Alligator mississippiensis: one gene and its partner. The protein of the gene in region 1 purifies or fractionates together with the protein of each later gene. This does not show direct contact. Links are inferred from orthologs where the notes say so. Each region holds a gene or a part of one and is shown on either strand. Other genes may lie near its edges. The genes, in order: TUBGCP2 and MZT1.

What was found.
Region 2: the proteins of TUBGCP2 (region 1) and MZT1 purify together in Homo sapiens (affinity purification with mass spectrometry; 4 studies listed by BioGRID and IntAct, counting the BioPlex papers as one, with this or other methods). This does not show direct contact. The link is inferred for Alligator mississippiensis from reciprocal best matches to the Homo sapiens genes TUBGCP2 and MZT1.

What each region holds. Positions count from the first base shown.
Region 1 is NC_081829.1:23,828,343-23,844,008, forward strand, and holds the start of TUBGCP2 (gamma-tubulin complex component 2), read right to left. Parts: upstream 6,445-15,666; 5' UTR 6,291-6,444; intron 3,455-6,290; 5' UTR 3,418-3,454; coding exon 3,268-3,417; intron 1-3,267. Other genes in the region: ZNF511 (zinc finger protein 511), read left to right, coding at 6,616-6,756, 9,334-9,407, 10,702-10,903. UniProt on the Homo sapiens protein: Component of the gamma-tubulin ring complex (gTuRC) which mediates microtubule nucleation.
Region 2 is NC_081824.1:390,145,651-390,161,670, reverse strand, and holds the start of MZT1 (mitotic-spindle organizing protein 1), read right to left. Parts: upstream 6,705-16,020; 5' UTR 6,662-6,704; coding exon 6,613-6,661; intron 2,234-6,612; coding exon 2,088-2,233; intron 1-2,087. Other genes in the region: BORA (protein aurora borealis), read left to right, coding at 9,202-9,357, 10,725-10,831, 13,105-13,150. UniProt on the Homo sapiens protein: Required for the recruitment and the assembly of the gamma-tubulin ring complex (gTuRC) at the centrosome.

The DNA of each region.
Region 1 (15,666 bases):
GGCTGAGATGGCTGCCCACTGTGTGGCCCTGCCCCTCCCCACCAATCACCAGCAAAGGGCAGAGCTGCATGATGGACAGCCCTCTTGGCCGATCAGTGGCAAGGGGTGGGGCCATATGATGGAGCGTCCTCTTGGTGGATCTGCGGCAAGGATCGAGTCCACAAGGGGTTGCCCCACCATGATTAGCCCATGAAAGTGGTGGCCAGTCCCATGATCCACCCACAAAATCAGCTGCCTGCTTCAGCAATTTGGGTAGGTCCTTAGTTATAGGAAGTGGACTTCTGTTTTAGTTGAGTTTTAACCAGGGACCTGATTTGGGACTAAGGGAGGACAGGAGGTCCCACTGGCAAATAAGGCTTGAGCCTGCTGGGGGGTGAGGGGAAGAAGGGGGGCCAGACAAGCAGCCCAGGAGAGACAAAGCCAAAGCTAGCAAGAGCCCACATCCCAGGAAGGGAACAGGCATGGCCCAAAGAATGGTAGAAAAGGGGCTAGAGAGAGCCCAGTGTCCAAAGAAGGGAGGGCCAGGTGCTCAGAGCCTGGGGGGGGGAGAGGGTCAGAAACAGGCTAGGAAGCCCAGTCCCAGGAAGGGCAGAGATTAAGAGACCAAAAAGGGGGAAAAGTCTGGATAAGAGACTGGGGCCTAGAGCCCACTGAAGTGTTTAATTGGTACACCTGCGAGGCATGGGCACAGCTACAGGAGAGGTTGGAGGCTATGATTAGCCCATAGGGCTACAGGTGCCCTTGGGGGGAGGCGGTATATGTGGGCCAAGATGGGGACAGACTGATTGGGAGCAGCAGGGTCCAAGAGGGATCTGCAGGTAAGAGGACAGGCTAAATCAGCAGTTCCCAAATTGTGACCCCATTTGGGGTCATGACCCACAAAATCAGTGGATGGGGTACTGTGGTTTGGGAATGAGGGGCCATGAGGAGGAAATGGGGTCATAAATTGGGTCATGTTGAAAAGTTTGGGAAGCACTGGGGTAAATGCTCACTCTAATACCCTTGAGCAGCCTCCCTTTCCAAGTTTGTTAATAAGACCAAGGCATGGCAGGAAAAAGGAAAGGGAGGGTGCCTGAGAGAGAGCGGAGCAGGAGCCAAGTTGCCATCCGGGGGCATGACAGCCACCCTGGTGCAGCAGTTCTGTTACAGTAGGGGCAAGCAACATACAGCCCACGGGCTGCATCTGGTTCACCAGGCACTTTCATCTGGCCCATGGATGCCCACCAACAAATTGTACCCCTCCCAGCCTTTCTGGCCATGGGGGTGGGAGCAAGGCATCCATATATACATACCCTCAACACACCATATTGCACCTCGTGCAGAAAGGCCCAGCCCAGCCAGCACACAGCTTCTAGGCAGGGCTGCTGCTGCCACTGCTGCAGCCACTGGGGGGACTTGCTTGGTTTCCCTGCTGTCTTGCTCGCTTTGGACAGCAGGTAGGGAAGTGGTGGGGGCAAATGGTAGCTGCAGCTGGGCAGAAGCATGGAACGTGGGGCTGGCAGCAGCATGGAGCCCACACATAGGGGGTAGTGGGAGTACGGAGCTTGGCTGAGCAGGGTGTGGATATAAGGGAGGGTGGTGGGGTGTGGGGACCCTCCTTCACACAGTCCCCACTGATGGCAGCAGCAGCAGCAGGCGGGGGCCCTTTGGGTGCTCATGCCTGGCGCAGGCACTGCCACCAGCAGCATGTGGCTCCATCCAGCACTGCACGTGGTGGCAAGGAACACAGTCAGGCCAGCCTGCCTTTACTGCATGGGGCTCCACGCACTGCATGTGCAGGTCCCAGCACTCACGCTCCACCGTAGGAAGCCCTGCGCAATGGAGCCAGCTGCCTTCACTGCTCCCTGCTGTGCAGGTCCCAGGACTCCACCTGAAGTGGAGGGGAGCCCTGTCCCCTACTTCCACATGGAGTCCCAGGACCTGCGCAGCAGGGAGTGGCAAAGGCAGCCAGCTCTATCACGGGGGGCTTCCCCCGGTGGTACAAAAATGTGGGAGCTGCGGAGAGCCCTGCACGATAGAGGCAAGCTGGTTTGGCTGTGCTACTTGCCGCCATGTGTAGAACTGACAGAACCACAAGCTGCTGGTGGCAGCGCCTGTGCCAGCCACAAGTGCCCCGAGGATCCCTGCCTGCTGCTGCCAGCGCAGCTGTGCGCCATGAGGGAGAGGGATGGAGGAATGTGTAGGGGCTCCCCATAACCCCCAACTCTCCCTCACACCCACATACTCCCAACATATGCACACACCCCCAACATACCCTACTGCCCCCCACACAGCCAGACCTCACCATACACCCCCCCACCAACCACACCCCACAATTCACACCTCCCACACACTATATACAAGAGTAAGGCTTTATTTTTAGTTATTATGCAATCAGCTCTATATTCAGTACACAAACACAAATCATGACAAAAATAATTTTTGTAAGAAAACTAAAGTACGTTATAGTAGGTGTTTGACTTTCAGTATATGAATTGGTTTTCTTCTGGTTCCAAGATGGCAAGCCTCCCTTCCCAAAAGGAGTATTTCCAGGGGTACAAGGGAAGGGACTTCCGGTGGCAAAGGTCAGGGGTTAGACTTCAGGTCCCAACATGGTGACCAGGAGGTAAAGTACCTGTCAAGGGGTGGGGCTACCCTTGCAGCCCTTGACAGCTCACCAAAACTCATTCAGCAGCCCTCCAGCTGAAATAATTGCCTGCCCCCATGTTACAGGATGCTAAAAGTGCTTAAGTCAAAAAAAAAAAAAAAAAAAAAAAAGCTGGATTTTTATTAAGTGTTTTTGACAGAATATCTATTTTTTATTTTATTCCTCAAAATCGGAACCCTTTTTATTTTAGTGAAAGGCAAAATCCAGCCACAGGCAGATACCAAGCCATGAATTTCTTTGCTGTAGCAAATTCCTCTTATTTTAACAACGCTTCTGAGAACAGAAAGCCAAACCCCCTCCCCTCCCTTCCTGAAATATGATCTTACTTTTCCTTCCTCTTCTGCTGCAGACCAGATCACCTTTTCTCCCCACTGCCAGCCTCACCTCAGCTTCATTTCCTGTCGGACATGCTGCAAAGCAGCAACAGGGAAGGATACCCTTTGTTTTTCTACTAACTTAGCTTTGAATTTCTCTTTCTTTACATGTGATTCTGCTATTACTAGAGTCAATGAAATTTCTGCAGTGACATCAGTGAGAGTAGAAACCTTTGGAAGACCAACCTCTAATTAAAACTTATCTCAATTATTATTGCAGCCTAGAAAAAGTCAAGGCTACCTTACCTTGGCACTGTGTGCAGAGACAGTTGTGGTAACATAAGGAGTTCTGTTCTTTTGCAGAAGGTCTATGTATACTTCAGCTCCTTCTCCTCCATGAACACGCAACAGGCTCAGCAGCTCATTGACATCATGATGAATACGAAATTCACTCATGCTTCCACTTGCGGTTACAAATTTCAAAATACACAGACTGTAGAGCACAAAATGAACCTCTTACCATTATGACTAATCGGTCAGGGTAAATTTTTAAAGAAGGATTAAATGCTTAAGGCACAGGTTACACTTAAAATTTTGCCAGCATAGTTTTATTGATTAGAAGATAGAATAGGGAAAGTCATACCCACAACTGACATAGCTGACAAAAACGATATAAATATGGTTAGAATAAGTTGCTCTAGTATATCTATTCTTAAACTATTTCCACTAATGAGGAATACCAGCATAGTTCTACCAGTACAGCTATATTGGCTAAACAAGCCATGTCCCATTTTCCAAAGTAACTTTGATACTTAAGCGACTAAAAGCCTATTTACTTTCAATGAGACTTTGACTCTCAAGTATTTAATCATTTCTGAAAATGGGACTTTGGGCATAATGCATAAGGTGCCTTAATAATCTCACATGTAGACAAAATCTTAAATTCCTAAACCACTTAAACACTTTGCATAGTACTAAGTAAGTGCTCTTCAGTAAAGACTAGATTTGAAGATGTCTCTGCATGCTGGTAAGGGCTTGCATACGTGGTTATCTTGGTGTAAGAAAATGCAAGTCCCTTATAGTTACTTTTGTTTCCCAGCAAATGCCCAAATAAGATGTGAACTTAAATGATAAAAGCTGATTTAAAATAACTGTCTATGCAGTGAGAATTAACTGGCATAAATATTCTGGTATAAGACTTAGCTACTGCAGAACAAGTTCCTCCTCTGGATGCTACTCTGAAACAGAAGCCACTTATCTCAGAATAAGTGTCCACATGAGGGAGCTACTCCAGAAAGATGAGAGTAGAACAGCTATTCTGATCTCTCCCCACATAGGCAACCTGTTAACAAAATCAATGTGAGACAGTGTGCAAAAGTGAAAATATCCCTTTTTCTTGGCTTCTTCCACCTACCATATTTAGCTCATCTGATGGACAGATCCAGAGCCTCTCACTAGTTACACTGATAAATGTAAAGTATGTTTTGTGAACCCACTGATGCCGATGTAGTCCTCTCCAGTTACAAGTTGAACGGCAGAAAGGCCACTAACCAACAGTGCATTGCAAATGCACATGTCAAATAAGAATCACAGGAGAAAATCAAAGAACCTCAACAGCAGGAAACAAAGAGCAAGTTGTTATTAGATACCAAGCTGAAGAGCATAGTATGGAGACCTAGATTAGATAATAGAGAAGAAAACAGTCTCAGATGTGCCAGGCCTGTCCCTGCTTTAGTATTCTGCTCAACTCACATGAGCAGACTGAAGCCTTATCTAGACTAAGGTATGCTAAGAGCCTGAACAACATCCAAATCCTGGTCTAGAAGAGGCTTGAGAACCTAGAACATCACAGCAGATGTTCTCAGCTTTGACAACCCAAGGGGAGATTTCTGCCTGGCTCTGCTTACCAGAATGTCTGGGACCAGACAGCAGTTGCCCACCAGAAGATGTGGGCATCCATACATTTCTTGTGGCTCTGAGCAGCTCAAATTCAGCAGCTGTGCTGTCAGAGTACAATGTGCAACCTTGGAAGGCACCAGGACAACCATCAAAAGGCAGAGAAGGGGCCACACGTCTTCTGCCAGCTGCCAAGTGCTGGTAAAAGTCACTTAGTTTTGCCAACACAACTGTAGTTCTGGGCTGCAGAGTCTTGCCAGCCAAGCTGGACACAGTTTCTGCTTTTTAGCATCATGTATTTTCTTGAAGCCTCAGAGAGATTTATGGCTACTGGGAAAGAACTTACTGTACACCGGGTTAATTTAACACTGTGTTTGCTTTTAGCTTCACTGGGAATGACCAGCAAAAACTACTATAAGAAACTAACATACTAACAGCAAATCTGTAGGGAAAAATAACGCTAAGTTTAAACAGAGAAGTTAATTTCACATTTGGGACTAAAGTATGAAGGAAAATCCTGTTTCAGTACAGCAGAAAACGAGAGATTTTGAATTCTTGTGAGTAAATAACTTAAGTAGAAAAGGGCCAGAAAAAGAAAGAACATAGAATCCGCAGAAAGCCAGAAAGGCCCTGCTTCAGCTAATAACATCAGACCCAGTCTAGGGAGGACAGGACAGGACACACAGGGATAGCAGAAGCAAGGGAAGCGTCGTCTCAGTGCACAGCGAGTCACAGCGAGCAGGACTGCTGCCGGCCCGAAACGTCCCAGGTGCTCGCAGCCCGGCCGGGACCGTGAGGGACGCTGCAACCCAACGCGGCAGCCAAGCTGCTCAAGGGCTTTGCACAGGTGCTCCAAAACTTTTTTAAATAAATGTTTTGTGTTCTGAGCCAAATCAGCCAAACCAAGTCCAAATCTGTGAGTCAGTCCAAAACCATAAGTAGCCCCACAACTGGCAAACATCCTCCACCCCCACCAGAAGCTTCAGATATTTCCAGGCTTTTGGCGGGCATCCTATGGGCAGGCCCAAGCCTGGAGGCTCGGGGTTTTGATGCCCCCGAGTTTTGCTTGCCTTCAGCCATAAGGTCGCAGGAGCAAGCTAGGGAGGAGCCTCCCATTTCCATACAGTGGGTTTTAAGCGCCAACACCTCGGCGTACTAAACCAGGCCAGAGGAGCAATTATCCCTGGGAACATTTCAGGAAAACCGCCTGCAAGGACCCATATACATGATGTTTGAGCTGCCGCCTGCCCTGCTCTCAGACACCTTCAGCCGGCCCCGCCGCTACCCTTCCCGCTCAGGCTCCGGGAGGGCATCCGGCCCCTCGCCGCTCCCGAGCCAGAGCCAGAGCCAGAGCCAGAGCCTGGGGCGCCGCGGCGGGCGGGGAGACGGCGCCGCGCTCCCCCCGCCCGGCCCGGCTCGGCGGCAGCACCCACCTGCCCGGCCGCGGTCACCGCGGAGCGGCCTCACAGCACCGCGCCTCCTCCTCGCAGCCGACAAACAGTGACGGCCAACGCCGCGGCCGAGCCGCGCAAGCTTCGATTGGCTGAGACAGAGATGACGGTAGAGACACTAGAGCCAATCAGAGAGCAGAGTCGAAGGCCTGGCGCCACGCCCCCCGTGCTTGGCGGTTGCGGGTCTCGCCTGGCTGTACGTCTCGCAGCTGCCTCCGAGCGGAAGTCGTGGTCTTCAGTCCTGGCTGACCCGGAAGTGAACTGTCCGCTCCTCTCCCCGCCCCTCGGCGCCGGCCGGGCCGGCGGGATGTTGCTGCTGTCGGGGCTGAGCGCCGCGGTGCGCGCCGAGCTGCCGCTCCTGCCCGCGCCGGCCCGCGCCCCGCCGCAGGCCCCGTTCCGCTTCTCGCCCCGCCGCCTGCGGTGCCCCCGCGAGCACGAGCTCCTGGAGGTAGGGCCCGCCGCGCGTGGGGGTTCACCGGCGCAGCGGTTCCAGATTCACTCCCGGATTTCGGCTGAACACAGCTCCGTGGTTTGAGTCTGCGTGGCCCTGCCGCCGGCAACGGCCCCCCTCCCCTACTGGTCAGCCTGCGCTTCAGCGTCTCCCCAGGCCATGGCCGGCCTTCTGCTTCTGAGCCCAGAGGCCGTGGAGGTCAGGTGCTCCCTCGTCTGACTTGCCTCTAGTTAAAAGGATGAAGGAGCAAGTTAGACGGAAATCCCACAAGCAATCCCCCTTCACCATAAATTGTGTAGCCGAAGTGCTCGCATTTGGAAACGTTTATAGACAGGCTTTCACCTTCTACCTACACAGTGGCGATGCATAGGAGGTGCACGGGGTTGCATCTGCACCCCTGAGAGCGCTGGTGCACCGCCTGATTGGCTGCGCTCCCTGCTTAGGTGATGGGCAGGGCGGGCAAACGGGAGTGCCGGGGCCCCCCCCCTGCAAGCCCTGGCCAATCGCTGCAGGCTCTCCCCTTATGGAAGTGACTGCAGTGATTGGCCGCGGGGGATCTCCCTCCGGGCAGTGGGATTGGCTGCGGGGGGACCCTCCCCCTGGGCATTTAGACTGGTTGCAGGGGGGGGTACATGCTCCCCCGACTAAGGCAGCACGGGTCACCCATGTAACTACACCGGAGTCATTCACGGCCATGCAGATGATGCCTCCCCTGCCAGGTGAGGCGTGACAGATGCCAGGCAGAGGTGGGCACTGGGTTGTGGGCTAAGAAGTCTAATGGCATATTGGGCTGCATTAGTAGGAGCATTGCCAGCATATTGAGGGAAGTGATTCTTCCCCTCTGTTTGGCACTGGTGAGGCCACACCTGGAGTATTGTGTCCAGTTTTGGGCCCCCCACTACAAAAAGGATGTGGACAAATTGGGAGAATTCAGTAGAGGACAACAAAAATAATTAGGGGGCTGGGCACATGACTTCTTAGAAGAGACTGAGGGAACTGGGCTTATTTAGTTTGGAAAAGAGAAGACTGAGTGGGGATTTAATAGCAGCCTTCAAATACCTGCAGGGTGGTTCCAAAGAGGATGGAGCTGAGCTGTTCTCAGTGGTGATAGATGATAAAACAAGGAGCAATGATTTCAAGTTGCAGCAAGGGAAGTTTAGGTTAGATATGAGGGAAAACTCTCAAAGTGGGTGGTAAAGCACTGGAACAGACTCCCTGGAGAGGTTGTGGTATCTGCATCCTAGGAGGATTTTAATACCTGGCTAGACAAAGCCTTGGCTGGGATGATGTAGTTGGGGATGGTCCTGCTTTGAAAAGGTGGTTAGATTGAATGTCCTCTTGAGGTCCCTTACAACCCTAATTTTCTATGATTTCTGTGATGTTTTCCTGTCTCTTGAAGAGGCTTCCCTTATAAACTAAGGAGGCACTCCCAACTGAGCCCATAGCTCAGGGGTGGCCAGCCTGCGGCTCCAAAGTCACATACGCCTCTTCAGAAGTTAATATACATCTCCTTGAATCTTTGCACAAGCACACGGTGACCAGCTTCAATTTGGACTGTGTGCTTGTGCAAAGATTCAAGGAGATGTATATTAACTTCTGAAGAGCCACAGGCTGGCCACCCATGCCATAGCTACTTGCCTGCAGGGTTGGCAGCTCATAGGTGGATGCCCTTGGCTGGGGTATGGACTAACAAAAATCAGTGGATGGGTGGCAGGCAGCAGGTTGCTGGTTCACTAGAGACGGAGCCTTCTAATTCTGCCATGTAACTACTTAGCCACTAACCATAGGTTCCTGTGCTTGGCCACAGGTTCCTGTGCTGTAGGATATCTCCAAAGTGCCTGCTCTGCCCACTGAGGTGGTTGGAAAGCTGCCTAGATATTCCTAGAATGTCGTGTTACGTGGCCAACGGTCTTGATGCACACTGCTGCATGAACTTGGTTTTGGTGGCAGAAAAGAAGCTGTGTAGACATGAATTACATATAGTAAAGTGGATCTTGTAAAGGGACATGGCCCACTTTCAAGGTCTTATAAAAATAAATACTGTAACAAGCACATGAGGAACACAGTTGTCTCTGTGAAGTATTAGTTGTGGCCAGTTGGAACTTCTCAGCAACAGGAGAAAGAACTCTGCTACTAACATTTGGGGCACAGTCCACAAATACTTGAATTCATGGGCACTAAATGCTGAATAGGTGTCTGCAGGTTCTGGGCCCTAAAGGAGCTTTTTCCTTAGTTCATATGATAGAGGCCTGACCTTATGGAGCAAGAGTCACAAAGGACCTGTGATAAGCAGTTGAAGTTATTCTCATAGAAACAGTAAAGGGTATTGGTGTATCTGCACATTACCCTAGAGGCATCAAACATATTCTGTGAAGAGGGCCAAGTTATGTTTTTAATTTGTTCTGTTGATTGGATTTAAAGTTGGGGCAATATATGACCCTTTGCCCCCAATTGATGTTCTCACCTCTTTCTCTTCCTTAGCCGAGTGTCGTGTTAGGAATAAAAATGATTTTCAATGTGTTTTTTGAATGTGCACTGCTGTAGACTGGCAATAATTTCTCTTCTCTGTTCTAGGATGGAGACATTCACAGACACTTGTATCTCCAAGATATTCTAGTGAGTGTTACACAAGTGACTGAAAAACCCAAGTAAGTGGCATATATCATACAAATTGTGTTGTGAGGTCTGCTGACAAAAGAGGCTTTTGATAATTTTTCTGGCCCTCCTCTTAGCTATCTCTGTAGTCTCTGCTTTCTGTTTGTACACGTCTTTCTAAACTGGATTCACTAATGAAAGTAATTGTGGAGGACTTTTAATTGTGTCTGATTTCAGATCAGAAGAAACCAATTTCCTGCCTTTTATATAGTGGTATACATTTTATTGTTGCTTGTGCATAACGGTATGTCAACAGAGAAATGTTATTTTTTAGACTGGCACAAATCGTTACCATCAGGTCCTTCCTGACTGGAATATATAGACACTAAGCTGGGGGGAGGGTAAGGTGCAGGTTCAGGTGTTTGTGGTCTTCTTTATTTTGGCTGTTGACTAGGTAAATAAGACAACAGAGATTGAGGGTAAATACAGCTACCTTTCAGAGGACTACAAATGTGGATTTTTAATCCCTTGTTGTGGTTTTGAAATTGGATAGCTCACACCTCATGTTTTTGCTTAATTTTAATTAATTCCCTACTAAATTAGAAGTCCATCCTTACAATGCATAACTATATTCTTAATATGCAGATTATGGCTGGTCTGAGACTCACATAAGGAGTTTAAGTTCGTGTGAGTTCACACACAAGCATTCCTAATTACTTTGTCTTCATAAACCAATTCTGTTGTGCCTCCAGTTTAATAGTCCCCTTCTTTCCCTATATTGATTAGTCTGTAATCAAAGCTACCTAAAACTACACATTATGTAGGTGTATGCAAATTTCCAGAGGGCAGTGATTTATATGCTGTCGATGGCTTTGACATAATCAGGGATCCTGGTTATGCTCTCATAAAAATAAAAAATTCTCTGAGAAAACTCCCCAAATCCATGATTAAAATGAAAGTCCCCCCCCACCCCGGCAGCTGCCCAGCCCTGCTGGTGCCCCTCACTCCCCACCGCAACCCCCCAGCCCTGCTCCTCACTCCCCCCCACAGCTCCCCAGCCCTGCTGGTGCCCCTTGCCCCCCATCCACAGTTCCTGCTTCCCCAGTCCTGTTGGAGGAGACTTCCAGCTGCCAGGGCTATGGGGCCAGGGACCTGGGGCCGCCTCTGGTAGGAGGCGGCGGCTGCTGCTGTGAAGCAGAGCCTGGCCTCCTGCACCCTACTGCCTGCCAGCTGTGGGCTTGGGTTGCGGGGCTGCACCCCTTTCTGGCTCATACTCCCAGGGAGGTAGGGGGACCCATGATCCCTGGACATAACCTACATACAACTATTTTCATCACTTCTTTGTAGGGTGTCTGAATTCTCATGTCATATTGCGGGATGCTGCCAGGTCTTTGATACTTTAGAGGGTTATGAACATCACTACAACACGCTACACAGGAATGTGTGCTCTTTCTGCAAACGTTCTTTTCCTTCAGGGCATCTGTTGGATATTCACATCCTGGAGTGGCATGACTCTCTCTTCCAGATAATGGCAGAAAAGCAAAGCATGGTGAGTCGCAAGTAAAGCTATTCTTAAATATCCAGTGCCTGAGAACTTTCTAGTGTTAAAATTCTGGGTCTCAAACATTTTTCTTTCTTTGAATTTGCAGCTTGACCCCCTTTTCACTGATAGAAATTGCCATACCCTAGTCACTTCTCACTGACTACAAATAAGTTTTATGTCTGAACAAAGTACAAGACACAAGCTATTTCAGGTGAAAAAAGAAAGTGATATCCTTTGCAGCCTCAAATTACTTGTATCAAAGGATTTCTAAGTTTTTCATCAGCTTTAAGCCTCACAGTCATATTTTTCAGTAAGAAAGTGGTATGCCTGTCTGGCAGATGAGGAAACAGGTTTGGAGTAGGTAAGAAATTTGTCCAGGGAAAAGCAAGGCTAGATCTCTTGCCTAGAAGACAGACTATCCCTCCCCCTCTATTTGGGGGGGGGGGAGGTGTAGATAGATAAATATAGAGGAGGGAAACGTGTATGACTTTGATTAACCTCTTCCAAGGATGCCAGAAATGGAGAAGGTAGAAAACTACAGGTAAATGGCTCTTGTCCCAAATGTGCTGATGGAGATTTGCCAACATGACTCTAGTTCACATATGAGCAATCAGAGACCATGTTCTGTCAACCCCTGATCTGATTACTCAAATACAAGATGAAAAAGACACTCATCTTACATTTGCATACAAGGAAACCTCATTAAATACATTGCCTAATTAAACTGCTGCCAAAAGCAGCATGTGCTCAGTAATGGAAACCAACTGTGAAGTTGATTAAATGCAGCCAACACTGACCATGATTATAAAACACATGGCCTGTATTAGGTAAACATACTGATGGGAAACTTTTGTGGCCCTTAAAAAAAAACAAACAGGCAGTTGCTCCCCTAAGAGGGAGCTGGCACCAAGCCTGGAGGCCCAGAGCCACCCCTGCAATACCAGTCCAGCACTGGGAGGCCCAGAGCCAGCCCTGACACCCTCCCCATGGTGCTAAAAATGCTTGATCTTACCCAAAAGGCCAAGATGCTGGTGGGAACATGCCACAAGGATAGATTAGTTCAGCCATAATCTGTATAACATAAATGGTAGTGCCCACTGCGTGCAGTCACCTTCAGCACTGACTTTTTCAGGTCATAGTGAGCCACTGCATTCATACATTTTGACTTCGCCTTCACTTAAACAGCTGAGCTGAGACTTTCCTGTTTCCAGTGATTTATTTTCTTCACCAGCCTTAAAGGTCTAGCAAACGTCACCAAATGGGGCCCCAAACAGTTCACCGAGAATCCCTCTGTCACCCCCCTCTGTCAGCCTTCATATATGATTAGTGCAGCTCTGCTCTTCATGAGGTGCAGTCAGACCAGGTTGCTCTGTGCCTCCTCTGCATATAATTTTTTTGAAAGATCCCAAGACTTGTGACAAAGGAAATTTGGTTGTAATCGTGAGTGGGTGTGTAATTAGCACGTGAATTGTTTGTGAGGGGTATCTGGAGTACACACATATACTGAATTGTGGGGTCACCGTAGCTTGAAAAAAATTAACTGTGCTGGGGTCCAGCTCAATGAACTATAAGGTAAATCAGGAGCCTTTTGGCTTTGGTTTTGCACGGGAGTATTTAAAGCCCAGGCTGAAGAGGCTGGGAAGTAAGATACTTGCTGGTGGTAGCACCACATAGATTTGAACGATGGGGCTCTACACAGTTGATGGAATTTGGAGTGGATTTGGCTAATTTGACTTGAGGCACGAAATTTAATTTAAAAAAGAAATGCATAGTTTGTACCTGCTGGTGGTAACACCATGTGGACCTGAATAACTGGGCTGTGCTCAGTGGGTGAAATTCAAAACTAATTTGACTGATTTGGCCTGAGATGCAAAATTAATAATTAAAAAATGCATAGTTTATACTATATATAAACAGGCATGTAGCTGTTGCAGTGTCTCAAAGCAGTTTAAGATGCCACAAGAGGCACACTGGGAACAAAAAAATGTTCACCACACAAAAAATATTTGCAACACGGACTCTAAATTTGATAACAGGAAATCCCAGTATCAACCCCCGCCCCTCGGAAAAAGGTGGCATCTTGGAGTGTGCCCTGAGGCAACCAGAGGCTGGGTCCTCCAACGAGACACTCTGGCACCCTGCTAAAGCTTCTCTATGGCTGCCCCTTCCTCTTGCTGCCCCAACATGCTGCCTCAGTGTGCTGGGGCAAATAGGAGCAGGGCAAGGCTGCAGCAGTAACCTGGACCCAGGTGCTGTCCCTGGTAAGTAGGGACGTGGGGGGGAGGGGGACTGTTCAGGAAGGGTGGGTCCCCCACAGCAGCAGAAGCAGCAGTCAGGCACTCGGGACCTGCTGCTAGCAGAGCCTGCCTGCGGCACAGCCCGGGCCACCTGAGACCCGGAACCACCTGCCCAGGGTTCTGCGCCTTTGAGACTCTTGCTGTCACTCAGGGTCCTGGCACTGCACGCAGGGGCTGCACGTCTGGCCAGGCCAGATCCTGCCTCCATGGAGCCGACCCAGCCCAGCAGTGTGCAGGGCTCTTGGAGGAAGGGCCCAGCCCGGCCCAATGTACGGCCCCTGTATGCAGTGCCGGGGCCCCGGGTGACAGGAAGAGCAGCCCAATCCTGCCTGAAGACTTACAGCCCCAGTCCAGGCTTGCAACATGTGGCACAGGTGGTGCTGGATCTCAGGAAGCTGGAGCTGTGCCGCACCGCAGGGGGGAGCTCTGCCAGCAGTGGGCCCCGAGCACCTGACAGCCACTGCTACTCCTGTGGGGGGCCTGTGCGCCATGCGGAAGGGGGATGGCAGGACCCATCCCTCCTGAGCAGTTACCCCCCCCGCCTACAATCCACCCACAAACCCCACACCACATCTACAAACCTCCCCCCACATACCCAGCCACAAGCCCCATACCTCCTACAAACCTCACCCCTGCAAACCCTACACCCACCCACAAACTCCACATCCCCGCCCCCACATATCCTCCCACATATCTCACACCCTGTGTGGCCAGGCAGCCACAAGGGCTGGGTTACTACCTGCTGTTGGGAGCTGTGGCTGCAGGGGCAACTGCCACTGGAGCCCTGCTCCATGCCTACACCAGTGCTGGGACATGCATCCCCAGCCTGTAGGAACTCCTTGTCCCAGGAACCCATAGTGGGGGGTATGATGGACTGGTGAGAGGGGTGGAGATGGCAGCAGGGGTGTATGTGTGAGAAAGAGAGATGGGGGTTGGGGGTGGGGAAGCGCTCTGGGTAGGAGAGGTTGCCAGAACCAGGTTTAGAGCCCCCCTGCCCTCCTAGAGCAGCCTTGCCCAGCCCAGTCCCTAAGCCACAATCAGGGGCTTCCCAGGAATGGCATGGGGATTGCTGAGGCCTGGGCACAGGTACAGGGAGCAGAACAGCAAGGACTGGCACTGCTCAGAACCACAAAGCAGCAGGTGAGACAGCTGCTGCTGAACTCGTGTCCTGGTGCTGGGATGGAGTTGCTGCCGGGAGGGAGCTAGTGGGAGCAGGCAGGAGCTGTGGGTCAGGAGTGAGGGGCACTGGGGAGGACTGTGAATTGAGAGTGAGGGGCAGGGGTAGGGCACTGGCATATCAATGCTGCGCAATGCCCCACATCCTGGTGAGCGAAGGGGACAGGGACAGCTCTGGTTTTTCTATGATAAAAAAAACAAAAGCAAATGCCAAAGCCTATAAATATTTAGAATTTGTTTATTATGGTGATAGAGGCACTGGTAGACTTCCAGATTGTTTTTAAATTGTAAATATATCAGTGAAACGCTGCCCAACTGATCTCTCTCTATATAGTGGTGTTTCATTTTAATCACAGAAGAACATGGATTTGGGGTATTTTAATGAGAAATTGGGGGGTTTTATGGCAGAATTTGCAATTTTTAAACAGGAAACACCAGACTGTCTGCTGATGAGACAAGTGGTGAGACCCCGGGCAGAGGAACCTACCCAGGGTCAGCACCGGGAACCCAGTTGGAGGGCAGATGAGGTGGCTGACCTGGCCATTTAGGGCCAGGAGGGCATACTTTGACAATTCAAAGCAGGCCACCACAACAAGCACATCTTCTGGGCGATAGCTGCCCAGATAGCAGGGCGGCTGACACAGGGGGCTGGCATCCCCAGATACTAACTGGCTGGGCCTCAGAAGCTCCTGAGGGCAAGTATACTCCCCCTGGCTGAAGATTCTGGAGGAGCTGGGCAGGGTCAGTTTGCCCAAAGTGGCACTATTTGCCCCACACCAAAGTGTATGTTCAGGCATGTGTGCTAAGGCACAAATCTCCAGCACAAATTTGTGCTGCTGCTATTTGAGCTGCTGCAAGTGCACATGCCTGGATGTGTGGGACAGCAGGGCCTGACAATAAGCATAGGTGAGGAAGGGGCTGCAGGGCAAAGAAGTGGGGGGAAGGGGCAGAGGGGCTACCTGCCCCCCTTCCCCCTCCCCCCCCCCAAAAAAAAATTATTTTCCCTGCTAAGTAGTGAGAGGTGGATAAAATCAAGCAAGCCTACAATAATTTGATTCTATACCTGGAAAATTGTAACAAATTTATACATTTTTTTGTATATAGAATATAATTGTGGGGGGGGTCATATTATATTCAGGATTCTTATATTAGAGTATATATGGTAATACTCATCTAATTCCAAAGATGGAAATGGCTTCAGAAAACATTAATTGGTTCTAAATTTTGTGCAACAATCTGTAAGTACCTATGTAACTTTGAGATGGGAGTGAGTGGAAGCTAGCTTTCATAGATCTT
Region 2 (16,020 bases), on another chromosome or scaffold:
GAAAGAACAGAACAGTTTGTGTACAATTTATGCACACCTGCTCTCTTCCACATTTGATGAAATACATAGAAAGTATGCTTTTCTGCTTTGTTACAGTTTAATACCAAAGTCCAAAGTTTCATTTACACAAATTTGGGACAGTGGATTCATGATACAGTTTAAAAAAAGACCAAAAGGAAAATCTCTGACCACATGAAGGTGCAAAGCAAACATTTTGCCAAGATTATATTTGGGTTTTGTATTGAAATTGTCCTTCCAAATAAATAACCTACATGTACAGTGGATTCAATCACATAATATTTTCTGCTCTTACAAAATGGCTCTGAAGCTCAAATAGGGTAGTTAAACTATTTAGAATATTCACTGTATAGTCTCTTTAAAATAATGTTTTTGCTGACCATATAAAGGAGGGTTGTCCAACTGGCAGTCCCTGGGCCTATTCGGCCACAGCTAGTCCTACAACTTTAGCCATGGGCTCCAGGTTCCCCTTGCCCCACTCAGCTTTTGTTTTTTTTTCCTGTCCCGGGGGTGGTGTGGCGCAGCCTACGGTGCTGTGGGAGCTGCAGTGTGGTGCAGCAAGGGAGCTGGGGTGAGGGCCACCCACACACAGTGCACTGGTGGTGGGGATGCCACCAATGAGTTGGCTCACACTAGTGTGGTCCTGAGCTGCTTAGAGGTTGAACAGTTCTGATCTAAAATATACTTTGGTTTTAGGATAGTTTCATATGAAAAAGGAGCATAGACAGTGTAAAAGAACATTATAAAGATTATAGCCTTTTCTTAGATTTTTAAATGAACTTTGTATAATATTACTTAAGAAGTAAGTTCTTCCTCAATTAAGAGTAACTAACCCAGATATAGAGCTGAAGTAGTGAGGTCGCCAAATTTACACATGACACAAAATTATTCTAAGTGGTAAAGACCAAAGCAGCTTGTGAGGAACTACAGAAGGATCTGGCACTACTGAGTGAATAGGTAACTAAATGGCAGATGAAATTCAAAGTAGATAAATGTAAAATGATGCACATGGACAGAAATAACCCAGACTATATACTACAATGGGCTCAACATTAGCCGTTCCTACACAGAAAAGAGATCTGGGAGTCACTGTGGACAGTTCACTAAAAACATCAGCTCAGTGCTCAGCAGCCATCAAAATAATACCCAACATTTTGTTTGACATTAAGACAGGAATTGTATACAAAACAGAAAGTATCAACATGTCACTTTATAAATCCATGGAGCATCCACACCTTGAATATAGTGCTCAGTTCTGGTTCCCACACCTCAAAAATGAAATAGAAGAACTAGAGAAGATACAGACAAGGACAAGGATGATTAGTGCTAAGGAGAGCCTTCCATATGAGGAGAGACTAAAGGGGCTGTGCCTATTCATTTTGAAGAGAGACACTTGGGGGGAAGACATAATTAGCTTACAATACTAAATGGTGAAGAGAAAGTAAATAGGGATTTATTATTCACTCTCTCACACAATGCAAGAACTAGGGGTCATAAATGAAACTAGCAGGTAGTAAGTTAAAAATCAACAAAAGGAAACTCTTTTTTACTTTGCATGCAATTAAAGTGTGGAACTTGTTGCCACCAGATATTGTGGATGGTGACAGTTTAGAGATTCAGAAAGGGATTGGACAAACTCTTGGAAGAGTAGCTATTAGCTATTCATTATCATCAGTACCTATTAGCAGTGGAGTTGGGGATACAGCCTCTGAATCAGAAGTTCCTGACCTAAACCCTAAATACTGGAGGTTGCAAGTGAGAGAAAACAGTGGAGAAAACCCTGGCCATACCCACTTCACTCTCCCTTTCAGCATCTACTCTCTGCCTCTGTGTGACATAGGATACTGGGCAAGAAAGATCTATGGTCTGACCCAGTAAACGGTAATTCTTATCCTACTGACAAAAATCCTTACTAGGTACAGCTGCTTAAGTACAGCCAACAAAATTTGTTTCCTTGGATTTTTAATTTTTATGAGAATGTACACAATTTTTACATGAACTTCTAATTACTTGTAACTTTTTTTTTTTTAATGAAAAACATATGGAGTTTGTTTTTAAAGATGGCTTACCTTCAGAGCTTCTGTAGCTTTACGTAATTCTTTAATAACAGAGGATAAGGCCTCTGGGTTTATCCCTTGTTCACAAAGCCGTACACAAATAGACAAGGTTTCCATATCCAAGCCAGTGTTTAATATTCTTGAAATCTCGAATAAAACTACAATTATTAAAAAAAAAATCGTGAGTTTGTTTTTATACATTAAGAGTGCTGTACCATCCAGCCCATATGACGAAGTAAAAGCTTTCTTCCTCTAGCCAGGGGTCCCTTGCCTGCTCCCAGCTAGACAGGCACCTGGGTCTCCTCTGGAGACTACTGTTGCAGTTGCCCTCCCCTGCTCTTCCCTCCACCCCCTGGTAGTTCCTGTGCCAGCTGCCCCAGTTATCAATATGAAAGACCCTGAAGGAGCAGCCTCAGCAGTTGGGAATGCCCTTGTCCCCTTAGGGACAAATCAGGAATGGGAAAGGAGCAGACAGTGGAAACAGCAAGGCAGAGTAAGGTCCTGCCCTCTGCTCTTACCTGGCACCAGGGAGACCAGTGGTTCTTAATCTTTTTAACATCAAGGCATGCATAGTTCAGTGACTCTGCTGGGGTAACACAATTCTCAAAGATTATGGAGGGGTGGCTTGAGGCTAAAAAGGCTGAGATTCACTGCTGTAAACACAGAGCTGCTACACCAGTCTCAACCATGTGCTCCATGCCCCAGGCTAGAGTGGGGATGGAAATGGAAGGTAACTGGCAATGATGGGGAAGGGGCGGGTAGACGTAGCAGCTCTGACACTGACTCTGGGTCAGAGCCACAGCAGCTGCCTGCTAACAACAGCTCCCCACCACCCCAATGCTAAAATCAGAAAAAAAACCCAAAAAACCTTGTCTTGGATTTGAGCAAATCCAGTACTATTCACCTCATCTTTCACTTAAAGAACTGAAGCAAGGCAAAGGATAAATTCTGAAAAGCTGATAAATAATTCAGGAACCTTATTTTAAAACCACTCTAGTGTTCATGACTGAAATTACTGGGAGTTAGGATGATAGGCACGTTTGAAAATTCCTCTTGGTACCTAAATACCTTAAACATCTGGGCCTATTGTAGCCTGTTTCTTTGAAAGTCAACAGAACTAAGGTCTTCACTGCCTAGGTAACTTAAAAAAAATAAAGACAAACAGACTTAGGCACTTTCACAATGTTACCCAAAACAATATGTCAGGGGCACACAAGAGCCACTTACACGAATGAAATTCTACAGGTGTCATAAGTTTTGCCAGCAAAGTTCTCCAAGACCTAGAGTTATCCTTGCAGGAATGCTCAGAACTGTCACAAACATGGCAAAACTGGATAGCCTGGTGATTATCTCCAATTTAAGCATGTCAAGATTCACAAACTTGGGTATTCCTGTGTGCAAGTCCTCTGAGGGGCCTGGATCCTATACATGTGATAGCACTTAATTCAGAAAGCACAGCAGACAGCTACTTAAATTAAAAAGCAGAGCCAGAGGAGGCAGTGTCCACCTTTTATGCAATATCCTAATACAAGGGTGTCCAATTCAAGGCTTCTGGCTGCCCAGACAATCCACCTCTGGCAGAAGGGCAATGGCTTGTTACAGCTCGGGAACCCAGAAGGTGAATTCTGCTGTTGCTCACCTTCCCTGCACTGCCCTCCATTTTCTCTCTGCCATGAACCTCAGTTGCCAATGGTAACCCAGAATTCCCTAGCAGACAAAGATGTGTGCAGGGAGCAGGCAAGGGCTGAGTGGTGGTAATCTCTGACTTCCAGAACCACGTTGACAGTGCCGCTGGAACCCAGCTCAGGAAAGTGGTACTTCAATTTATGATTTGTTCTTACTCAGTAAGTGTCTTTGGTTTCTTGAGAACAGTAAAACATTAAAATAGAAGTTGAATCAGATAACCATTGAATCAAGAACCAATGAATAGAAACTGGAAGTATAATAAAATGTTAGGTTGGAAATTTAGAGGAAAATCTCCAACCATGAAAACTAAATAGCTCTGGAACAGCCTTCCAACAGCAGTAATGGGTATGAAGTTCTTACTAGGTTTAAAATGGAGCTTAGGCAGTTTATGAAAGTGACTGTATGACATCATCAATTTTGATATTAGGGCATGGAACATGATCAACCCTTCTAGACCTATGTTCCCAACTAGTGTTTGAAACCCTCTGTTGCCACCCATTCATTCAAGTAAATGTGAAGTGTTGCTTCTTATTCCCCTCAAACAAGAAATTTAACTCTTAAACTAATTAACAAGTTTGAAGGAAAGAATATTTAGCAATCTCTCTCTCATATTTTATACCACCATTGTGAGCTCTTCCCTAAACTATTGTTTACAAAGGTCTTTTCAATAGGCCTATCCAGTTTCCATATGTGAAAATTACTAATGGACACAGTTGATGAACCTAAAAATTCTTCAGCCATTTTCCTGTAACTCTTACTGCTGACAGGAAAAAAAAAACAACATCAGAGCAACACTAACATCTATTTTTACTCAATTTTTTTAAAGTACCTTCAGGTTCCATTATTATTGTATCTAATTATCCCACTATTTCACTATGTCTAGAGAGAGATTAGAAGAATTCTCTAGACAAAGACTGGGTACTGAAGGGTGAACCTCATTCTGCCCCATTTGTGCCTGGTCACAAAAATAAAAGAAAAAAACCGACTTGTAACTAACTGAAATGGGCACAATAAAGTTGTGCTGCAAAAAACAAAATAGGACCCGATTCTGAAAAACAAAATAGTTATAAAGAGACAATATCTCAAGCTCACCCAGCATACTTGATTTGATCAAGCTACAGAAAATCACTACCTTGATTACATAGTGGAAAGAGCTTATTTACATTGTTTAACAGAACAATGAACAGAAAAATTCAGGGTCTGGACTCCAGGAATACTCAGATTAGTGTAAATGTAGTTTGAATCTGAGACAGACAGGTGTACAGGCCTGTTATAACAGTATAAGGCTGCCTGGAACAGGTCAAAAGTGGTGCTTGATTTTCCAGGTACCTTTTGAACCAGTTCACTGTGATATTAGATGTGGATACAAAATGTTCCATGACACCAGTTTGGTCAGTCCTCCATTAACTCCTCATTGCATCAACCTCTTTCTCCCAAACTCTATTACCTCTGACATGTCTCCCCTTGTGTTGGCATTTTCATCACTGAGCTCTTTTGCACTGCTCGTTCAACCAAAGCTATCCAACAACCAGCTGAATCTGCACTCCCTACTCCACTGTGGCCCCTCATTATACTTCCCCAGGCCCTAGGAAGTCAAAAGTGCAAATCTAAGCACTTTCCCCCCCTCCATTCCCCCAGACCACCCCAAATGAGGCAAGCCCATGGCAGACTTTGCACCACTGCACTTGGGTTTACAGAAGGGAAAGCAGAAAAGGCAAATGCCCCTAGCCACAAGTCCCTCACCATTTGGACCCTGAAGAAAAAAGTCCAGATATAGTGGGCTCATTCCTGCCTCCTGGTGATGGAGTCACAGCACTTCATAAGACCTGTCAGTTACTGGGTCAATTACATACTTCCATCTTACCCGGCATCCATCTGCCTGACCAGGAAGAAGGTTCTGGCCCAGAGGACCCCCAGTGATTGCAAGGTCATCCTCCTGCCTCTCATCCACCTTGTTCAAGGGCCAGTGGGCACTGTCCAGTGTCCTGTGCTCACAGCCCCCTCTTGGTGCATTTGTTGTGAACAGAGATCCTGGTTTTCTCCGATTAAAAAAATTCTCAATTTTCAGTTTAAGACAAAAGTAACCCAAAATCCACATTTTTCCACAATTAAAATGAAGCGCCACTAATATCTAGTGGATTTGGTCAAGCTACAGATACATATCTATATATTAGTGGCTTTTCATTTTAACCACAGGAACATGTGGATTTTGAGTTACTGCTTTAATCTGAAAATTAGATTTTATACTTTTTAAATCAGAGAAAACCAGGATCCCTAGCTATGACCCTCTGACCTTCACTTCCATTCCCGCTTTGTAATTAGCTGGTACCTACCTAATACCCCTCTTGCGTTAGCAGTGGCTAACCCTTGCTCCAGGACTCAAGGCCTAGGACACCACCGTGGGTGTCCAATAGGCTTGTTTCATCCACGTCAGCCTCTGGGCAGTGCTGCGGGCTCACTCCATGGGATCACACGGGGGCCAAGGGGCCCCTTGGAGAACTCGTTACTGGCCTCTGCCCTTCCCTCCTACCCCCATCAGTGTTTTGGAAATCTGTCGCTGAACACTAAACTGCTCCTGGGCATCTAACGGCGGGGCTGTTCTCGTCTTGACCCGTGCTCGTATTTCTTTCGCACAAATCAAGCACGGGAGGAAAGTCTGCAGGCCCACCGCGCGGGGAGGGAGAGCGCGGGGGGGAAACCAGGGCGGCGCTCGTTTCCTCGGGGGAAGGAACAGAGCTGCTCCTCCTGCTGCCGCAAACCCCTGCTGAGGCCGGTCCAGCTCCGGACGCTTCGGACGCCAAATACGAGTGGATCCAACGGGCGCCGCAGCGAGCGCCCGCGCCCAACTCACCGTCCATGGTCTCCCGCACAGCGTTCAAGTTGGCCGCGTTACTCGCCATGGTGACAGACAGCGTGCGCCTAACCCGCCACCCGGAAGCACAAACCCGGAAGCGGAAGCCCCTCTTAACAGGGAAATACATAAAACATACATTCAATTGTATATATTTATTCATATAATATATATTATATTTTCTATGAAAATATATTATATTTCCTTGTTAGGAGGAAAAGATAAAATATAATTTATTTTTATATAAAACAACAAAACTAAAAAAACCCCAAAACAAAACAACTCTCCCCCCCCAAAAATCCCACCTCTCGCCGGCGCATGCAGTTACACCTCAGGAGCTATTTCCGTCCCTGCCCGGCCCGCTATGATGTTTCAAATACACCCCACCTACTCCTCCGTGAGGAGGGTTACTCGTTCGAATTTGTGAAGCGAGCCCTGCGCCGATTGGGCTGTTTGAGAGCGGTTGCCACGCGATTGGTCAGGCAGGTGAGGCGGCGCTCGATGATTGGGTAGCGGCGGAGCGTGGGGGCCGGGCCAGTTAAAGAGCTGCCTGGGGTCAGGCAGAGGCGGTTTCACAGGGATCCGCGGGCGGAGGCAGGTATCGCTCAATTTTTGGGTCATCTTTTTTTTCCCTCTCCCTCTACACAGGCCTTCCTGGGCTAGTGCGGGCTAGAGCCCCCATCCCCCCTAGGCTGATTATTTCCTTGGGGGGGGGGGGGGATATTGTCTTTGCGCATGCACAGAGCGGGCCGGGATTAGGAGAGAATCGGGGTTCTGAGAGGTGCTGACCCTACGACCGCGCATGCGCAGAACAGGCCAGAAGTGGCGCATCGAGGGGCTCTGCGGATGCAAAGCTGGAGGAAGGAAAGAGCCTCGGGGTCCCTCGTCCCTTCTCCCTCCCTCCCCCTCCTTTCCTCCCCCACTGCCCCTCCAGGTTTGGTTGCATATTTCACTTAATTTCCTAAAAATAAAGTTTCAGTGGCAATAGTGTGGCTTTTTTTTAGCCTGCCACAGGCCCTGTGCATCATGTGTCACTTGACTTTCTTGGCCAGCTTGAAGGGAGAAGAAAAAGTTCTTACTTTCCGGGATAAGCATACAACTAAGGCAGTGCTGGGGCCATGTGCCCAGTCCAGATATTTCTCATCTGCCCAATCTGGTGTGGTGGGTTAAAGGGCACTCATTGGATTCAACCCCTGTCTGTGGTAACGGGGCTAAAGCTGCTCTCTAATCCTGTGTGCTGGCTCCAGTCGATGCTAGGGCTGTGTCATCTGGCTTGGGACTCTAGTTAATGCAGCCACTGCTTTCCCCCACAAAATTTCCAGACCTGGGGGAATCGGTATCAAGGGCTGGGCGGGGCTTCAACTGACAAGAGTGCACAAAGCTAGTCAAACACAGCGTGGAGCGGAGGAGGGTTGTTACAGGGTCTGAGGTACCCCAATGGTCGCAGCAGCCTCTGGACTGACTTGTCTTGAGGATCAGTATTTATTGCATATAATGCACATCCCATTTTCCCTGAACTCATTTTTGTGGGTGGGAGGGGGGTGGAGGATGCAGGTTTTATCCAAGAAAAGGTTCTGTCTTCTCTGGGAGAAGCATGGTTTTGAGTGGTACCTGTATACCGTTATGCTTTCCATATACAGCCTTTCAGTAAAGAGGTTTCTTCAGACACTTGAGGCCAGATGCTGTTCCGTCTGTTTCAACAGTCCCTAGGCGTGGTTCTCTTCCACTGTGAAAGCCCCAGGAAAACTTAAAACCGTATTGGATCCTTCTCCACCTCCTTGTTGCTACTTTTTTGTGATGGAGTCTTAAGGTTAAGATCAGTGCAGTTACAAAGCAAGATGTATGGGTTTGGATGATTGGCCAGGAATTCAAACTGGGTGGAATAGGATCACGCTTAGGGTATGAACAGGCATCTTGTATGTCCTGGGACCAATTGTGCAGGTAATTGTCCTGGAACAGAAAAGTCATGTGATAGCCGTGTACATGTTGCCCTTCCAGTTGGAGTTTAGTTAGTGGCTGAACGCATGGCTGCTTTTCTGGCATTGATCCAGTGATGCAATCCCCACATGTCTGTTGAGATGCTCTTCAAAATATCCTGGGGCATATTTAGCTATCTTATCTAGTAAACCTTTTTTGGGGTCTGTACTGGGTCAATGAAAATGGCATCTGAATGATGGATTCACTGAGGTTCACCTTCAAATTAAAACCAGGTATAGAAACCAGGTATAGAGTCATTATCCTGTGATAATTACAGTGTACTTGTAGCTGGCCTAAATTTATTGAGCAGTTAACCAGTTAATTGCATGATAACTACCTTGCACATGTAGCTGGTCTACACTTATTGCACAATTAACCAGTTAGTTGCATAACATATGTCTCATGTAGCAGGGGCCTAATTCTCTTTCTCTGATTTATCTGAAACCGATCAGAAAACTGACCAAATTTAAACTTCTTGTACTCTCTTCAGTCTGACTAGATTTTGAATTGCTAATGTTTCTCGAAACGATCGTTTCTTACTGCAAAACCATGGGGTACTGAATGATCTAAAATTATAACTTCTTATTTTCCTTCTAGGTATTGTACTGTGTTATGGGTGATAGAAAAGAAGCTAAAATGCATATAACACCGGAAACTCCAGGACGGGTTGCTGTTCTGAACCCTTTTGAAAGTCCAAGTGATTACCATAGTCTGCAGGAACACGTGGTTTCCAGTCCTTCTGTCTTTAAATCAACGAAAGCCTCATCGGTAAGATTTAATCCTTAGTACATGAATATGGAAGAAATAGCAATACTTCCACATACACATTTTTCACACTTCGTAAAGTACACATGATTTGTAATACAACTTGAAATATTTTTACAAGAATTTAAACATAGTTCCTTCTGTGGAAACTTACAGTATTACTATGGTTGGTTTGTTTGTAGTGCTGTGTAACTGTTTTGAAAGTCTTGATGTTACTGCAGTTTTAGTGATTTTAAGAAAACCCAGCTAGTTGTACATGACACTATTCTAATAGTATTGTTGAGTTAAAGATGAACAATACTGGTTAGCTAGGTTTTCTTTAGAGAAATGCTGTCTGCAGTAACACTTGTTCCAACATTTTGATTCAAGTAGGCTGGGTGTAAGTTTAAACTCAATAGTCATAATGCCCCCTACTCCATGCTTTATCTGGCCTTGTTTAAGGCTTGAACTCTCTTCTATACAGTGGCCTAGTTTCAACACGGAGGATGGGAAGTGTCTCTACCACAGAACATGCAGAGTCCAGTGGTTACCTGAATAACTCCATAGGGAGGTAGTTGATGTAGGTTTGAATCTGGGTCTCTGGTGAGGTCTGTAGCTACTGGGCTATCACATAAGATGGACACCACTAGCACCTTCTTTCCCTTTTTAAAAAGAAAGCAGCCATAACTGCATTTTTGTATGAATGAAGCCTTGTATACGGATGCATGTTAGGTGTGCTCTGAAGACACAGTTCATGTCTATCAGGGGACTTAGGTAGGGGACTTTCTAGGTTTTGAATTTTAGCTGGTCTTTGGTATGATTTTGGCCCTAGTTGTTCAGACAGGAATCATCTTGTGCCACATGTGGAGATGTAGCTCTAGGTGACATACTTCTTGACTTTAAAATTTTCTAGGCACCAATGACTTCAGGCTCCTACAGGGCTAGATGGCAGCTGAACAGGTATTTCTGGATCTCAGTTTTGAATTTAGGGACCTAATTTCTGAACCGGATCTGACCCTTAGATACATCATTTACCACTTCCATCTCCATTACTCATCTGTGAAAGGGGCATAGTGGTATTCTCATAGTAGTTCTCTGAGACATATTTGTTAAGAGCTTCGATAATGGAAAGCATCAGTTAATGCAAAATAGTAGATAGACTTTGTTGTTTCACTTCCTATGGTATTGGTACTGGTTATTAAAAATAAAATTATTAAAATGTAAGTAGTCACTTTCTCCTTTTTTGTTGTTTAAATATCTAGCTTTCACTGATTGAAACAATTGCTGCCATCTTAGTGAGGTAATGAAAGTGCCGTTCCTTTTAAAGATCTGTGGGTTTTGTTTCCTTTTGCTTGGAATAGTAAACACTATGCTCTTCCTTCTTTTCTTAGACCCCAGGAAAATTTAGGTGGTCTATTGATCAGCTGGCTCTAATAAATCCTGTGGAAATTGACTCTGAAGATGTTCGACGTCAAGCAATGTATTTAAGTCATGCTAGGTATGTTGCTTGTTGTTTTACCTAGTGAACTGAAGTCATATTTGAATACCTGAAAGTTGTGCTTACACATGTACATTTTTAATGTATCTCTATAAAGAGTGAACATTTTCTATTAAATGATAGTGCATATAACATTGCTTTTTTCCCTGCAGTTATTTAGATTTTTAGTTTGTTTTTTTAAGTCTCTGTTATGGATATAAAATCTTGCTTCTCCATTATTTGTCATGCCAAGCTCCATGGAACAATCTTGTAAAGAGGCTGGATTACAGATTTTGGGCAGAAGCACACCTTTCAGTCACTGGTACGTGGGGAATTTCCTCTAGTTTGTTTTTCCTGCCTTTACAGGGCTGACCAACTCTCCTACACCTCCACAGGTGTAGGGCTTTTTTAGGTACACACACGTGATGAGTGCATCAGGACTCTGCCAACAACTTTAACCACTTTTATTATTTTATGGCATGGGTCTGGTATTGGGTACTGCAAGCACTCCACTGTTTCAGTGCCTAATGGGTTGCAGGCCATTAGCAGAGTTTGATATTTCTTGTGGCAGTTTTGTTACCACAACACAGTCTGGTCTTAGCTGCTGTCCTGCATTTTTACGCAAGAGACTGTCCAAGCTTTCACAGTTTTCATATGCAGCAGCAACCATAGTGGTATCATAAGAGTTATGTCTAGGGATCTACCCAAGTCAAGATGGCAGCCAGCCAATTTCACGGGCAGGTTACGGGGCTGGCTCCCATTTTTACGGGCTTATTGTGGTGGGGCTCCCTGTGCCTCTGCTTGAGGGACCCTAGTGGAGTTCCCCACTGCTGCTGATTGATTGGTAGAGGGCGTTCACTGTCATATGGCTCTGCCTCTTGCTACTGATGGGTGGAGAGGGGCAGGGCTGCATAACAGGTAGCCCTCTCAGCCAGTCAGCAGTGAGGGGTGGGAGTGGCTCTTGCTTGCTTGCCATAGTGCTGCCAGCCCCCTTAGTGCCAGTGTGCATGGCCAGGAAGACTGCCGGCTCACACTGGGGAGCTAGCATTTTATTTTTAGTAAGTTTTTATTTTATTTTATTTTTCCTGTGGATTTCGCAATATCTACAGTATCCATGAAATTGTGATTTGAGTAGGTCCCTAGTTATGTCACTGCTGATGCTTTCACTACAATGTCATGTCACTGGTTCTATCTGCATTTTTAGTTATATGTGGCAATTTTCTGGAGGTATTGCAAAACTAGTCAGAAAAATGACTGGAGAAAGGGAGATAACAGAGGATGAACATACTTATAAATAACCAGGTTCAGTAATGCAACAAAGGGCTTCTATATAGTGTTTTGAACTAATTTATAGCTCCATCAGTTATTCAGGTATTTGTCCCAAATGGTTTCTAAATATAAAAACATGATCTGAAGCTATTCACATATAATAACCATATACAAACACTTGAAATACTTTTCTGTACAAGAGGTTATACAACTAATTGTCAGTATGTGTTTCTTCTGGTTGTGAATTATACTGTTATTAATTACTGAAAGGAGAGTTTTAATATATACTTTGTTGACAGGGAGGGAAAACTGAAAGGTGCAGTTAAATAAATGATTTGAATAATGGTTAGAAAATTGAACTGGCAGAAAACTATAATATAATTTAACATAAGATTTTTTTGGAATTACTATTTTGTATAAGATTATATAAAAGGAATGCACGAGACAATTCATACTGGAAATTTGGGATTCTTGTATATTGGCTGGGATAAGATGGATAACGTGCATACTGTTTGAAGAGGGATTTATACACTGAGGACAGGTAGAAACTGTCAGAAATAACTACATTGACATACATGTTTCTTTATGTGCTTTCCACTGCGGTTTTTTCCCCCCTCTACCTGGTATTATTCTTCATAGTAAATCTCTTTGTCGTGTTTAAAATAAGGATATATTTAACATTATAGTAATTTTAGAAGTAGAATATTTTTATAAGCAAAGCTCTATTTTATTCCAGGATTTAGATGGAAGAAGAGATCTATTATGAAGACTATTTTTTTTCAAGTGTTGCTATTAAAATTGTCTATTGTGGAACTTAGTTTTTTGGGTTTTTTTAAAGTAGATAGTTACAGAGGAACTGCACATAATAAGAATTATTCCTAGCATGGATTTATTTGGTAAAATTTGATACTTAGTTTTAGTTTAAGATTATTAAATGGTGTACACTTAATGAACTTCTAATTTCCAGAACCTCAAATATAATAACAGTATTTGTAACTTGCTGCTTTTTAATTTTCTTTATTTAGACTAGATAAAGAGATGGAAGACAAAAGACAAAAAGCAATTGAAGAGGTAAATAAGACTGATATTTATATTAAATTGTATATTAATGTTATGCAAGTAAAATGAACAGTAGTGCAGCGTGCAGTGCCCTGCTGTGCCGCATTGCACCCGTGTGATGGTGATGGTGTAGATGTGAGGTGGGGGAGGGGTGGTGATCCCCCGCTGCCCCGTGCTGCGCGGGGCAGGGGCTCTGCCACAAGCCCTCAGGCCCCAGTCACCACTGCCAGAGCCAGTAAGTGCAGGGCTTTTTTTTTAATTTATTTTTTGTTTTTAAAGCTCCTCGCTCACCGGCTGTGGACCGTGCGGATGGCAGCATGCTGTTGCTGCCAGCTGGGGCCAGCACCAGCACTCGAGTCTGCCCAGTGCATCCTGTGCTGAGTGCTGGGAAGAACCCAGTGCTGGCGCTGGCACCAGCTGGCAGTGGTAGCCTGCTGTTATCCCGCATGCAGATCTAGGGGCCCACACCCCCCAGGAGGGCTGCGAGGCTGTGCCAGACTCCTCCTAGGGGGAGCAGGCCCCTGGATCTGCATGCGGGATGACAGCATGCTGCTGGCAAGTGATACTAGTTTTGCTTTGAAGAGTTTGAGGTGCAGTTTCCCAGAAACCCCTGCACCTATCGCCTTGAAACTTAGCAGGCTTCATGGCCTCAGAGGGAGCTAGCATCTCTGCATGTTTAATCTGAATCAGACAAAAAATGATGAAGTTATGGGGCAGTTTTATATTTCCCCATTATAGCCTATGGCTGAAAAACCGAAATACCATCGAAATTCCAAAACGGCTCCGAAACTGTTTCGGCTGAAACAAAATGGGACAATGATTCGAAACACTATTTCTCCAAAATGCCGAAACTGAAATGAAACACAGGTGTTCTGCGCAGCCCTATTGTGTATAGAAACAAGCACGTATACATAACTTCATAGATTTCAAATAGGAATTCATAGTGTCAAAAATGGTTGTGGTCTTTTGGAGTTCTTTGTAATTGAAGAATTGTTTTATTAATTTCCATAATCAAAAAACAAGTGAAAACCAAGAACTGGTGTATTCTGAGGAGTGTCTTGGGTCTAATGAGAGGTGCCACAGCAATAGAGACACAGTGTGTCTAGTTGTACACTTTTATGCCCATATCATTTAGATTGAGAACATTTAAAAGAAAAGGAAAACCTTCATGGAGTGACACACTAACAAACTTTTAAAAAAAGAAAGATGTTTTTGTATGCAGCAAGTTGTAATAATTTTAAGATTGGTGATGTTGATTATCAAAACTTAATACGCAAAGAAAAAGAGAGAAGGTGATATCTTTGCCTGCCTTGTTTGAGACATCTTAATGCATTTCCAAGTTAAATATACTTTTGTGTAAAGGTTCAGAAGACGATGAGATGTTGGACTTATGCCATGTAGTAATGGTCTGAGATGAAGCAAGCTCTTGATGTCGTATATCTCATTAGGAAAATCTGCTATTCACTTAAGCCCAAACCCATGAGACTGTGTTGCAGTATTTTATTTTGACATATCTGGATTACATAGACCATGTACAGGTGCTTTATTTCTATGTAGAATTGTTCCGCTCTCTCGGGAGAAACTATGAACATACAAACTTTTAATTTTTCCTTTGGGAAATATGTCTCATCCAGGAAAAACTAGGTCAATACTTAAATGATCTTCCTTGCAAGAGAAGCTCTTTTGCCAATAGGACAATGCTCCCTCCAATTGTCCCAGACCGAATGGGTTGGGTGGTTGGCCCTACTACTCCTTGCTTTTCCAGAGACCTGGTCTGGAGAAGGTACAAGGAATCCTTCCTTGTGGCTTGACTCCTCTTGGGGACTGTGAAGATTAGAACCGCTGCTGGTTCCCATGGCTTTCCCAGACTGGGATCACACTGATCTAGTGAAGGTGTGGAGAGCAGTAGGAGTAGAAGCTAGGGAGGAAAGTGGATCCGGCTAACTATAGGCCCATTAGCCTGACTTCCATCCCGGGGAAGATCTTAGAAAAGTTTATTAAAGAGGCCATCCTTAATGGACTGGCTGACGCCAACATCTTAAGGGATAACCAGCACGGGTTTGTTGCGGGTAGGTCTTACTTGACCAATCTCATTTCCTTCTATGACCAGGTGACCTATCACCTGGACAAGGGAGAAGAGATTGATATCATATAACTTGACTTCAAAAATGCCTTCGATCTGGTGTCCCATGATCACTTCTTGGTGAAGCTGGCCAGTTGTCGCCTTGGGTCCACCACGATCCACTGGCTGGAAAATTGGCTCCATGGTCGGACCCAGAGGGTAGTAATTGATGGAAGTCGCTCATCATGGTGTCCTGTGACCAGTGGGGTCCCCCAAGGCTCTGTCCTTGGACCCATACTATTCAACATCTTCATTAATGATGTGGACACTGGAGTCAGAAGCGGCCTGGCCAAGTTTGCCGATGACACCAAACTTTGGGGCAAAGCATCCACACCAGAAGACAGGCGGGTGATCCAGGCTGACCTGGACAGGCTCAGCAAGCGGGCGGACGAGAACCTGATGGTGTTCAACGCTGATAAATGCAAGGTTCTCCACCTTGGGAAGAAAAACCCGCAGCATCCTTATAGGCTCGGCAGTGCTATGTTGGCTAGCACTATGGAAGAAAGAGACTTGGGGGTCATCATTGACCACAAGATGAACATGAGCCTGCAATGCGATGCTGCGGCTAGTAAAGCAAGCAAAACGCTGGCTTGCATCCATAGGTGCTTCTCAAGCAAATCCCGGGACGTCATTCTCCCCTTGTACTCAGCCTTGGTGAGGCTGCAACTGGAGTACCGCGTCCAGTTTTGGGCTCCACAATTTAAAAAGGATGTGGAGAAGCTTGAGAGAGTCCAGAGAAGAGCCACGTGCATGATCAGAG